Linked DNA regions of Caenorhabditis elegans. The protein of the gene in region 1 purifies or fractionates together with the protein of each later gene. This does not show direct contact. Each region holds a gene or a part of one and is shown in the gene's direction. Other genes may lie near its edges. The genes, in order: unc-73 and egl-30.

Region 1 (4,926 bases):
CTGGGAAATCCAATCTTCACCATGTGTCTCGAGAATATCTCTGATGTTGACTTGTTACTGTAGGATTGAGTGGAATTGATATTATTTTTGATATTAGGGCGATAGCGGTCATTTAGTTCAATTTTTGGTCATTTAGTTCAATTTAGTTCATTTAAAATTTCCTAGGATTTTGTTTTACGGTGTTCCACCGACACTAAAAACTGATTGTTCAGATCAGAGGTGTACGTTAAATTTTTTCGACAATTCTACAAAATGGCCTGATGTGGCATGTTGGTCTGATATTTTTCATTAAAATTTAGTGTCAAAATATAGGATTGATTGATCTGAAAATAATTTTTTAGTTGAAAAAAAATCCTTAAAAGTTGTCTGAAAGGTGAAAATTGCTGGAATAAATCAGACAAATTATTGACACTTTTTTCCAGCAATTGGCAACTTTCATGCAATTTTTAATCATATTTTCACATTTTCAAACTTAAATGAAAATTATTTTCTGATTAATAAATTATTTGTTATATATTTTTGCATTAAATTTTGATCTGTTTTGCCTGTTGAACTAAAATGCTCTAGTTCAGATACAAGTAGTTTCAAAGAATTTGAGAGATTAGATTATAAAGACATCTCAACAACTTCTAGAGCTCACAACAGCATCTATTGAGTTCAATTGAAAAATTCAATTTTGGAGAAGAAAGGATTTAAACAGAATTATCTATATTTGAAGTGTTGCTAACATACTTCTTGTCATCTGTCGCCTGCATCGTTTGCACCTGCCACCATTACCGCCATCTCACGTCGTCGTCTTCTTCATGTCTTCTTTCTTATTTTGCCTGTTGTGTCCCCGGCGGTCTGTCCGGTCCATCAACATCCGTCTGCGCGCGCAGTGACCCTTGCGTTCTCTTTTTACGTCTGCGTCTCTACAGGACACTAGCACTGTCTCATATGACCAGCGGTCTGCTACAACGGCCGTTAGCCTCCCATAACAATTCGCTTGTCTCCCGCTTTCGTACGCTATTCCCGGAGCGGTGCCCACCCCAATGGTTGGGCCCTCTTGAGAGAAATAGTTCGTTTTGGTAGCTCTTCCTTTTCTTCTTCCTTTTCCACGATTTTCGCATTTTCACACCCAACGATTTGTAATGCGTTGTGCAACTAATAATTGAGACTAGATTCATCACATCTTTATTTGCTTATTTTATTTTATGCAGTGAAGACATTTGAATAATGCATACTTCCTGAAAAAGTACGTATTCTAGTGAGAAGATCTAATAACGTTTCGCAATGTTTCGACCTTTTCCATCCTATTTTTAGCTGCTTGAGTATAGAATTTCTTCAAAAATATCAATGAGTCAGTCATTTTAAAACAAACTTTAAAATTTAGTTTTAAAAATTGGCAAGACCATTTTGACCAAAATTTGGCAAGAGATTGTTTAGACTAGGGTCAAATAGAATTAAATTAGCTCAAGCCACATGTTGCCAATTTCCGATTTAAGCCATTTTTTTCCGGATTGTTTGAAATATTTTGTATACCAAACTTGTTCCAAGAAGATGTTAAGCTATATGAAAAGCTTCTAAAATTGTAATGCACTTATTTTTAAATGTTCTGGAAAATTTTGTTTTTTCCATAATAATTAATAATTTTGTCTCGATTTTTTCTTTGATTTTTAAAATCTTATTTAGTGTGATTTTCCATGATTTTCGAGCAATATTTCATCAGAAAATTTAAATCGAAAATCAACTTTTTCTCTCTTTTCAATACGCACTCTATTTTATTTTCTCAAATCTCTTTTTTTGAAAGAAATTTAAAATTCTTTGAAAACTGTCATTTTTTCAGATAAACGGGTTCTCATCTGATCGTCACAATACACACACAGACATTCAGAAGCACATGATTATTTTGAATTCAAGAAGAGTCGTCAAATTCGCATAAAATTCCTCCATCAGTTATGGGCGATTATGATGGAAAAGTGAGTTTTTTCAGTTTCATGGTGGCGGCAGCGGCAACTTGTGAAAAAAGAGGCAGAGATGCCGGCGCCGTAATCCATTGAAGCGATTAATGCGGAAAACGAGTGCAAACTGTACGATTTGATAGAGAAAAGAATACGTTTTTGTTTTTCGAATGTTCCGAGAAATGTCTTTTTCATCAAATTTTTAAATTTCAAATAATTTAATTTTGTTTTGTTAATATTGCCCAGACGCAAAGTTTTGCGATATTTGCAATAAAAATACGGTATTCGGTCTCGATACTACAAATTTTTGATGAGCCTTTAAAGATTACTGTAGTTTAGTTGATTATTGATTTTTTTCTCTATATTTGTTTAAATTTATGTGTTTAACAGTTTTTTTGTTGTAAAATTGTTCCGATGAAAAATTTTTTTATAAATAACAATGAAAATTGATGAAAATTCCGCAAAAACCAAATGCTAGAGATTACAGTATTCTTCAAATAAAATTTTATCGTGTCAAGACCGGGTACCGTATTTTGATACAAAAATCGTTAAATTTCGCCTATGAGTAGTAGAAAAAATTAACACCAAAACAGCAACTAAAAAATTTAATATAACTTTAAAGTTTTGCCAAAATTGAAAAAAAAAATTTCCGAGATCTCTACTCTTTTTCACGACTATAAATCTTGATTAGGTCCAAACTAAAGAAAAATAAATCATAATAATTGATGTATTACGATTACAAACCTTCCCAGACAATTGTTGAAAAGTGTAAAATGAGTTCATCACGTTTTTGAAATATGTTATGAGTCAATTGTTTTGTGTCACTCATTCCGAAATTCGGTGCTCTCCCGGTGCTCCTGCTTCTTCTCACCCATTATTTCCGGATAGATCATGAGATGGAGAGACGCAGATAGCACGATAATAGTGACCGGTTGTGTAAAGTTGTGTGAGAAAAGAAACGAAATAGTGGGAGCTTATCAAGCTCTTCCCTCAATCCTTGAAACAGATGGTACTCTCAAAGAGTGCCTTCTCGATTAGCACCAATCTTACTACTAGTATGTTGTTGTTCGAGACAGGATTATGACCTCGAGAAGCGAGGAAAATGTGAGAGAGAACGAATACCAACAAAAAAATCCGAATAGTGTGTGTGTGTAATGACGGCAGTTTATGGCAATCGGGGAAGACATTGAGAATTGTTGTAGTGCAAAAAATTGGAGGAAAAAGAAAGAAAAAATGAAAGAAAATCTCTTGTGTGCCGGGTTTTCTTTCTTCCTTTTTCGTTTTTTTTCGTGTTGGTTTGCCTTGCAAGTAAACTAGTCAACTTCAAAATACTCTGGTTGAGCTTTTACAAAAAGTTCTCTCAGTCTTTTTTCTTTCAAATACAAATTTTTCTGCCCAATTTTTTCACAAAATAAACAAAAAGAGCCAAACTTTTATAGGTAGTTTTTGAGTACATTGTACTGATTATTTTAATTTAAAATCAATGATTCTAGTTTGTTATCTCTATTTTACAGTTTCATAAAATTTAAAAAAAGTAATGTACAGTGAATGATTTCAAATTTTTCTTTCAGTATTGGCCATACAAAAATGAAAAAATACAAAAAATAAAAAAATTTTATAAAACCTAGATTTCCGTTTGACATTTTCTTTTTTATTCCAAGTTTTAGTGCAAGTTCAGCGAAAATTCGCCCCCTGCGACTTCACCATTTAGAATTCGAAAATTTCAAAATTTGGTGCCCGCTTCTTGCCCAGAAGTTGGCAAAGCTTAGATTGATTTAGACTGCGCCCAAATCCAGCCCAAACTTGATCCAACTTTTGACAAACTCTAACCCAAGTTTAAAACCACACAAGAAAAGTTGGGCGCACCCTAACCAAGTATAAGTTTTGCCCAATTTTTGGTCCAAAATTAGACAAGAAGCTAGCCCTAAAAATCGAGTTAGTGATCGCAGAACTGTTATCTCTGACTCTCTGCTTTTCCTCCAAATCAACAGTCATTTTCCATTGCCGGGGGCCGCGAACAGCGCACTAACCATTCCGTCCGTCCGTCCCAATACACGAAAAAGTCGATTAGCAGATTGAACTTGGTGATAAACTGCAGTGCAATGTGACCAGCCCCTTTTCGTTCCACTCGACTCCCCCCCTATTCCACTCTTCGGTGTTGTGTTGCCTGCGTCTCAACGCTCTCTCCCTCTATCTCACCCGTTTCCTCTGGTGGTGAATTGAATTTCGAATGGTCCTTCTTTTACGACAAACACTGATATTTTTTGGAGCCACTGCGAGCTTTTTTTGGTTTTCTAAGATTTTGGTTTCATGTTCCCGGACATTTTGAACTTTCAAAAATAATCTCAAAAACTCTATGAAAACTTTTGATTTTAAACAATTCGAAAAAATTCCAGATGACGATGAAAGCAGAAGACATTCTGCATGTTCTTCGTGACGGCATTGCAGTACTTCCTGGAGGACGATGTAGAGCCGGACAAGCAGTTATCGTATGTCCATCACGAGAGCAACCTGTCAATCAGGATAATTTACGCAATGTCTTTCTGTATTTATTTGAAGTTACTTCGTAAGTTTTTTATTTGACTGAAATGGAACAACCACACTGTGAAAAAACAAAATTTATAAAAAGATATTTCAAAAAATTTATTTCCATTTTTCAATTCAATTACTTAACAATAAGCCTAGCCTAAGCCCACAAAACACAAATTTCAAAAAAACCAAACAAAAAATTGAATTTGCAGGAAGATGGCACGCGAAAAGGGATTCCTTGTGGTAATTGATATGCGTGGAAAACAAACATGGACCAATGTTCGACACATTCTGAAAGCTCTCAGTGTATGGTTTTTTTTTCGTTTAAAAAATATGGATTCCTACAAAAACAACAAAAAACTATATACACTTATAACAGCCAAAAATAGCGGAATATCCTTTAAAAACTTAGACTAAAACCCTCTAAAATTATTCAAAATTTTCAAAATTTTTAGTC
Region 2 (7,894 bases), 2.2 Mb from region 1:
GGTCGGCTATCGATGAAGTCTTAGATCCAATCGATGAAGACGCAGTAGAAACATCAAATCCATCAACTTCCACACATATGTTCGTAACGAACAAGGATGAGCTGATTGCGAAGTTCAAGGAACTTGGTCACGTATCAGATGAGCCGTCAGCAAAGCCAGTCATGGTTGGAATGGTTGGCTATCCTAACGTTGGAAAAAGTTCTACGATCAACAAGCTGGCTGGTGGAAAGAAGGTTTCAGTATCAGCAACACCCGGAAAGACGAGACATTTCCAAACCATTCACATCGACAGCCAACTATGCCTTTGTGATTGTCCCGGACTTGTCATGCCTTCTTTCTCTTTTGGACGAAGCGAAATGTTTTTAAACGGTAACTCGTAGTTTTAAAATAATATTTTCCAAATTCGATTCGATTGCAGGTATTCTTCCCGTTGATCAAATGCGTGACCACTTCGGCCCAACGTCGCTTCTACTCTCCCGTGTTCCAGTTCATGTCATCGAGGCGACATACTCGATTATGCTGCCAGAGATGCAAAGTCCTTCTGCAATCAACTTGCTTAACTCGCTCGCGTTCATGAGAGGATTTATGGCGTCGTCGGGAATTCCGGATTGTTCCAGAGCCGCGAGGCTGATGTTCAAGGATGTTGTCAGTGGAAAATTGATTTGGGCAGCCGCACCTCCCGGAGTTGAGCAAGAAGAGTTTGACCGAATCTCCTATCCAGACAAGAAGACTCGTGATATTGGTCGGGTGCAGATGGAAAAGCTTGCCAAGCTTCAGCTTCTCGAGGGTGATGAGTTGAAGGGATCACAATTTGACTCTCAACACTTTGTCGGATCAATCGGAGTTGCTCATGTCAGAGATTCAAAAGCATTGCCTCAAACGTTAGGAACCGTCATTCCAACTGCTCCTACCGAAAACAATGGAAAGAAGCATTACAAGGGAAAGAAGGACAAATTGAGGAGGATTTATAATGAATAAAGTCACTCTTCTTGTTATTACTTTCAAATGTTTTTACTGTTCTACTGGTTTCCACCCAGGCTATATCTCAATTCTTTTGCTCGTCTCTTATCCTTTTAATTTCTTCTATTTTCTTTTTCACTAATACTTTTTTCAGGTAAATATGGGCAAGATTATGAAGCCTGGAAAGGTCGTCCTCGTCCTCAGAGGAAAGTATGCTGGTCGCAAGGCCGTCGTCGTCAAGCAACAAGACGAGGGAGTTTCGGACAGAACCTACCCACACGCCATCATTGCTGGAATCGACAGATACCCATTGAAGGTACAATCATCTGTTGCTTGTTCGGGATTTAATTATTTTTCTTTCAGGTTACCAAGGACATGGGAAAGAAGAAGATCGAGAAGAGAAATAAGCTGAAGCCATTCCTCAAGGTCGTCTCCTACACTCACTTGCTCCCAACTCGTTACTCCGTCGATGTCGCCTTCGATAAGACCAACATCAACAAGGTTTGTTGGATTTCTAATATATTTCACCTATTATTTTTTAATTTTCAGGAGGCACTCAAGGCTCCGTCCAAGAAGAGAAAGGCCCTCGTCGAAGTCAAGTCCAAGTTCGAGGAGCGTTACAAGACCGGAAAGAACAAGTGGTTCTTCACCAAATTGCGATTCTAAACCGCATTTTTTCTTGTTTTGTTCTGAATAAAATGTTGTTACATATTCCAGTGAGATCGGTTTCATTAGAACGCAGAATTATATTCAATACGTGAATCGGGGCACAAAATCTTAGTGTTTGCAAGCCGGCGGCGAGAGACGAGACGAGTAGAGCCCGTGCGTCAAGGCGAAACGAGAGAGCGTGGCGAGAGTGGAGTGCGGCACGGCGACACGCGTATCTTGGTCTCGCAGCGACCAGTGCTACGGTCGAGGGGAGGCCGGCGCGTTGCGTGTTAGGTGCGTGCGTCAGCTAGCGGTCCTTTTCGGTCAAGCGATCAGCTTTATATACACACACACCCGCCACCACCACATTTCCACCAACAGAGAGGCATCCCTGTGCGTTGTTGTGTTGTTGTTTTTTTGTGATGTTTATAACTTGACGCCCTCAATCGTCCCACCGAAATACAAAAATTGCATCGAACTTCTATCCTCGCTCTAGCGTGTTCTTCTTGTTCTATTCGCTGGCTTCATCTGCGGCCTTGGTGGCACCTTTTCGGCCGCCATGGCCTGCTGTTTATCCGAAGAGGCTCGCGAGCAGAAGCGAATAAATCAAGAAATTGAGAAGCAGCTTCAGCGTGACAAAAGAAATGCTCGACGAGAACTCAAACTTCTTTTATTGGGTAAGAACCGGTTCCCTTCAACAAGAAGTCGGTGTAATATTCATTTAACCTGTAGAATCCTGGAATCCTGAAATCCTGGGAGCCAAGCTAAAATTTGAAGAAAAAAAAACCCCCACAGCCTTCCACGTTATTCCGAAACTTTATTTATCTATTGTTTACTTTTTCCATTTACACCCTCTCGAATTGCACCTGCCCCTTGTCGCCCATTCATCATTCTCCTTATCACCATAATTTCCTTATCAGTCCTCCAGTTTTCCCCCTTCAACACCTCGTTATCAATCGCAATTCCGAACGGTTTTCCTTTAAAATGACAGTTCCAGTTCCAGTCTCTGAAAAAACCTGTAAAACCAAATCAATAAACAGTTCCAAGTGTGTGTGTGTGTGTGTGTAGGAGTGCGCGTATGAAACAGTCTATTTCTCTGCGTGTCGTTCCGTTTTTCGTTCCTATTTGGGGGGGGGGCCTCCAACCCCCCTAATATGTCGAAAATGTGGGGCGCGTCGTCGTTGTCGGGGGCATATATCCCCCGCCGGCCCCCGAAACCCCCTTCTTCTTCTTCTTCTTCTTCTTTCCCTTCCCTTCCCTTACACATATATCTATATATGTGTGTGTGAGTGTGTGTACGTATATAGCATTTGCATGGTAAGAGAGAGCGAGACGCGCTGGTGGATTGCCCTCACAGCGCCCCCCCCTCCCCCTTCCCTGTCGCGTCTGTGCTGCGCGTATTGATCGGTGGCAGCAGCAGCAGCAGCAGCGGCAAAAAGAAAGAATGGGGGGAGTGAGAGATGAAGAATACGACGGGGACGACACACACACACATAGGAGTATTGGAAAAGCAGAGAGTGTGCTCCGCGTGAGTTTGAGTGTCTCTGAGCGAGAGAGCGCGAGACGCAGAGAACCAGAGAGAGGGGCTGCTGTGTGCGCGCGCGATGGAAAAGAGGGAAGAGAGAGAGGGAGAGAGTGGGGAAAGCCACAACCTAATCAGCGCAGCCAACCAACCAACCAACCAACCAGCCCAGCCAACCACGGGGAGGGCTAGGAAGAGCCCAGAGAAAGAAGGATGGGGGTGAAGAGCAGCAGCAGAAGCTTGGCCAGTCCTCCACCCAGCCATAGGGACCGATGGACTAGGAGACGCAGGCGTGGGCTCCTCTCTCTCTCTCTCTCGGCCACAGAGCAACTAGATGAATTCACATACAAATGACTAATGGACATGAGTTGTCTGTGTGTATGTGTGTGTTGTATGCAGCAGTGCAAATTGATTTCCAACCCGCCCCAAATTTGTGTGAGGGCTTTAAAGGAGGAGCAGATTGGCAAGAAAAAGGGCAGACATGGGCTGGAATCGGGACTGTGAAAAGGAACTGGAACGGATTTGGAAAAAAAATTTTTGGAAAAAATTGAATTTGCATGATCTGTTTGATGTTAGTTTCTCAACATGAAAAAAAATTAAAAATTAAAAGGAAAGTTTAATTCATAAATAAGGAAAACAGTAATCAAATGTAGATTTTTTAACATTCAGCGTTCTCTGTCAAAATATCGTGCGCCTTTAAAGAGTACCGTAGTTTTTTGATGTTTCATAAGTTTTCACCAGTTTTCTTAAATTTATTGAAAAGGTGGTTAATTTTTTAACTAACATCACGTGGTGTCAGAGAGTTTCATTTCGGTTTGATCTACCTAGATCTACAAAAAACGCGGGAAAAGAGACGCAGAGTTCTCAACTGATTTCGTATGGTTACGACCGTGTTGACGTCACATATTTTTGGGCGAAAAATTCCCGCATTTTTTGTAGATCAAGCTTTAATGAAATAGTATCACCACGTGTAACATCACATTTTGGAAGAAAAATCAATTCAAACTCAGCAAAAAGTTAGTAACTACAGTAATTTTTAAAGGCGAACCCACCGTATTTTCGAAGTTAGCATTCCCAAAACTATTAAAACCACGTTAAATCCCATTAAAAATTATGTTCCAACAAAAAAATCCTAAAAATAAAAATGATGAAAGATCCAGGTAAGCGAGAAAAATTAAAAACCAGGCTCTCAGGTACAGTAATTGAACAATATATATATATCCAACAACCCATTTTCCAAAAAAAAAATTCAATTTTCAGGGACTGGAGAGTCCGGCAAGTCAACGTTCATCAAGCAGATGCGAATTATCCACGGTCAGGGATATTCGGAAGAGGACAAGCGAGCACACATTCGACTTGTCTATCAGAACGTGTTTATGGCCATACAGGTAGGAATTAGGAATCTGAAAACCTGTTTTTAAAATTTTGAATTTTAACTCATATTTTATTACGAAACCGCCAGTAGATGTTTGACGCAACAAATATCTCGTAGCGAAGTCTACAGAAAAGTTGTAAATTACCACCGGAAACTAATACGTAGTGCCAGGGCTGTCCCATTACGGTTTGATCTACAAAAGTGCTCGAATTTTTCGCCCTAAAGAATTTGACGTCAGGGACGTTCTTAATCATGCTAAATCAGTTGAGAACTCTGCCGCATTTTTTGTAGATCAACGTAGATCAAACCGAAATAAGACACTCTGACACCATGGTAGTTTCAAAAAATATTTTAAAAGTTTCTGTACACTTCGCTATGAGATCTTTGGCGGTTACATAATAAAATTGATTTTTTGAGATTAAAATACTCATTTCGATGGAAAAAAGGGGGGTTTTTCCATTTAAAAAAATCGACCGAAGCCTTAAAATTCGAACTATTTTTTCCAGTCTATGATACGAGCGATGGACACATTAGATATAAAGTTTGGTAACGAATCAGAGGAGCTGCAGGAGAAGGCGGCTGTGGTGCGGGAAGTGGATTTCGAGTCGGTGACGTCTTTCGAGGAACCCTACGTGTCGTATATCAAAGAGCTATGGGAGGATTCTGGTATTCAGGAATGTTATGATAGGAGGCGAGAATATCAGCTCACCGATTCAGCCAAATAGTGAGTTTTAGTGGTTTTTTGTTGAAATATTTTACCTCTTTCTAAACCTCGTTTAACATCTTCCAGCTATCTCTCCGATCTCCGACGGCTGGCGGTGCCAGACTATCTGCCAACCGAGCAGGACATTCTGCGTGTTCGTGTGCCAACCACTGGTATCATTGAATATCCATTTGATTTGGAGCAGATCATCTTTCGGTGAGCTTTTTAATTTACTAAAAATTACATTCAAAAAACGGAAAATTGTGTTTTCCAGAATGGTGGACGTCGGAGGTCAGCGATCAGAAAGGCGGAAGTGGATCCACTGTTTCGAAAATGTCACCTCAATCATGTTCCTGGTGGCGCTTTCCGAGTATGATCAGGTGTTGGTCGAGTGTGACAACGAGGTGAGCTCCCTGGAGAAAGTACTAATTACGAAAAAACTATACGGTATTCGTATATATATATAATGAGCTGAAAACAATCTCTGATGCTTTTTTCGTCTCCCAAGAGATACGGAGATACGGAGAGGGAGATAGTGGCTTTAAGCGAAAATATGCAATTTAGTCGCCGACTGTGCACCATAATTAGGGGCCGAAAACAATCTATTCGGCCCGGAAAATGTGCATTTTTCAAGGGGCCGGGGCGGATATTAAGCTATTTCTCATTTGCACTATAGAGTAACAGTGGGATAAGCGTGTGATGAAGAGCCAGTAGAATATTATAGCATTTATTAAGGGCCAAGTGGTTTACGTATGATAACGTAAGATAACAGAATAACGGGGATTTGGGGATGAGCAAAACACAGGTGACAGGTCAAGAAATGATGATTAATGAGCGTCGCACTCGCCTTATATACTGCCCGACGAGAGAGAGTGAGAGACGCAGAGTTGCCAATTCCGCGGGAAGATGTGCAGGCGGGTCTCGACACGACAGGTACCGAAGGCGCCAATTCAAACAGGAGTTTCTCCCAACACGCGAATTGTTCTCGTCGTAGAAATCGTTACCGATTTCGCTCGTTCTTTCTGTAAATTGTCAGCTAGAACTAAAATATGTGAAGTGTAGAGTGATAATCCTTACAATAGTGCAAAAAAAAAACAAACTAGAAATCAATCTTGCAGAACCGAATGGAAGAATCGAAAGCTCTGTTCCGAACGATCATCACGTACCCATGGTTCACCAACTCATCGGTCATTCTATTCCTGAACAAGAAGGATCTGCTCGAGGAGAAGATTCTGTACTCGCATCTCGCTGACTACTTTCCCGAATATGACGGTTTGTAGAGTCTTTTATTGAGAGACTTTATTTGGGCAAATTTCACCCACCTAAATTGTTTTCTTTTCAGGACCCCCACGCGATCCGATCGCCGCCCGCGAGTTTATTCTCAAAATGTTTGTCGACTTGAATCCGGACGCCGACAAGATTATCTACTCTCATTTTACGTGCGCGACTGGTATGTCTTTTCTTTGTTTGCTAGGTGGAAAATATTCGAGCACGGGGTTCTAGCCTTCTTCATTGAATTTTCGCGCTCCATTGACAATCGTGTCTGCCGGATAAAGTCGTGTACTCCACACGGATAAATAAATTCAGTTTTACAACTAGAATTGAGCCGCGACACGCAACGCGCCGTAAATCTACTCCAGATATGGGCGAGCTAAAATGGCCCAAACTCTTCCAGGGAAGCCAGAACTCCGTGTTCGAGAAAAGCACTTATGGTAGCCACGGGTTACCGATTCGGTGTCCCATGGACACTTAGAGTTGCTCATGGCGAATTACTAAAAAATTGTTTAAAAATATCTAAAATTTTCAAATAAAAGGGACCTCTATTTCAGATACGGAAAACATTCGGTTCGTGTTCGCCGCCGTCAAAGACACAATTCTACAGCATAATCTGAAGGAGTACAACTTGGTGTAAGAAGAAAGTCGCATGTCGGATTGGATGATGATGATGATGATCCATCTCTCTCTCTCTCTCTCTCTCACTGGGTCGAGTGAGACACCACCACCTAAACCTAGGAAACATTTTCTTGTACTCCTTCTAATTTTTGTTTTTTTTTTGCAAAAAACTTTCTCTCTCTGTCTGTCTCTCTCTCCATCTCTTCCTTATTTTCTTATTTTCTCATTTTCCTCCCTAAAACAAATGCTCCTCCCGAATATTCTTTCCATATAAGCACTTTTTTCTTCTTTTTTTGGATGTGCTTTCTGATATAGCTAATGCAAAAAGAAACAAAACTTCTCTCTCTCTCTCTCTCTCTCTCTTTCTGTCCTGTCTATACTCATTTATCATCACAAAAAGTCGGTTTTCACATCCTTCCCTACCCATCAACCTAGTTTCCGGCATGCAAAAACACCACCTAGTCTCTCTGTCATTCACAAAAAAAATTTTTTTTTTTGTCTTTTTTTTTCTCACAAAAATCCCCACAACAAACCGCCGCTTCTTTCGTTTTTTTTTGTCTTGATTCAAATTTTTATTTTTTTTACCTTTCTAACAATTCTAACCACAAAAAAAACACATTTTTCGTGTTGGACATAGTTTTTTTTTCCTCCTCAACTTCAATTTCTCCCACCCACATCCACATAATTCAAATATTATAACGTTTTTTTTGAGTTTTCACCATATTTTTTTCGAAAATTATCGAATGCTTTCTCCACTCCCCTCCCCAAACTTCACCCTTACCCTAAAAATCCC

The links.
Region 2: the proteins of unc-73 (region 1) and egl-30 purify together in Caenorhabditis elegans (affinity purification with western blotting, with the first as the bait; one study listed by BioGRID). This does not show direct contact.

Annotation. Positions count from the first base shown.
Region 1 is NC_003279.8:4,028,639-4,033,564, reverse strand, and holds the start of unc-73 (CRAL-TRIO domain-containing protein), read left to right. Parts: upstream 1-1,825; 5' UTR 1,826-1,937; coding exon 1,938-1,958; intron 1,959-4,336; coding exon 4,337-4,506; intron 4,507-4,681; coding exon 4,682-4,775; intron 4,776-4,926.
Region 2 is NC_003279.8:1,833,769-1,841,662, forward strand, and holds the start of egl-30 (Guanine nucleotide-binding protein subunit alpha), read left to right. Parts: upstream 1-1,892; 5' UTR 1,893-2,011; coding exon of another isoform or gene 2,012-2,104; 5' UTR 2,105-2,167; coding exon 2,168-2,285; intron 2,286-2,882; exon of another isoform or gene 2,883-4,390; coding exon 4,391-4,518; intron 4,519-5,011; coding exon 5,012-5,229; intron 5,230-5,295; coding exon 5,296-5,424; intron 5,425-5,482; coding exon 5,483-5,612; intron 5,613-6,326; coding exon 6,327-6,480; intron 6,481-6,550; coding exon 6,551-6,658; intron 6,659-6,910; exon of another isoform or gene 6,911-6,977; intron 6,978-7,037; coding exon 7,038-7,120; 3' UTR 7,121-7,894. Other genes in the region: C53H9.2 (Large subunit GTPase 1 homolog), read left to right, coding at 2-369, 419-978; rpl-27 (Large ribosomal subunit protein eL27), read left to right, coding at 1,121-1,276, 1,324-1,461, 1,510-1,626.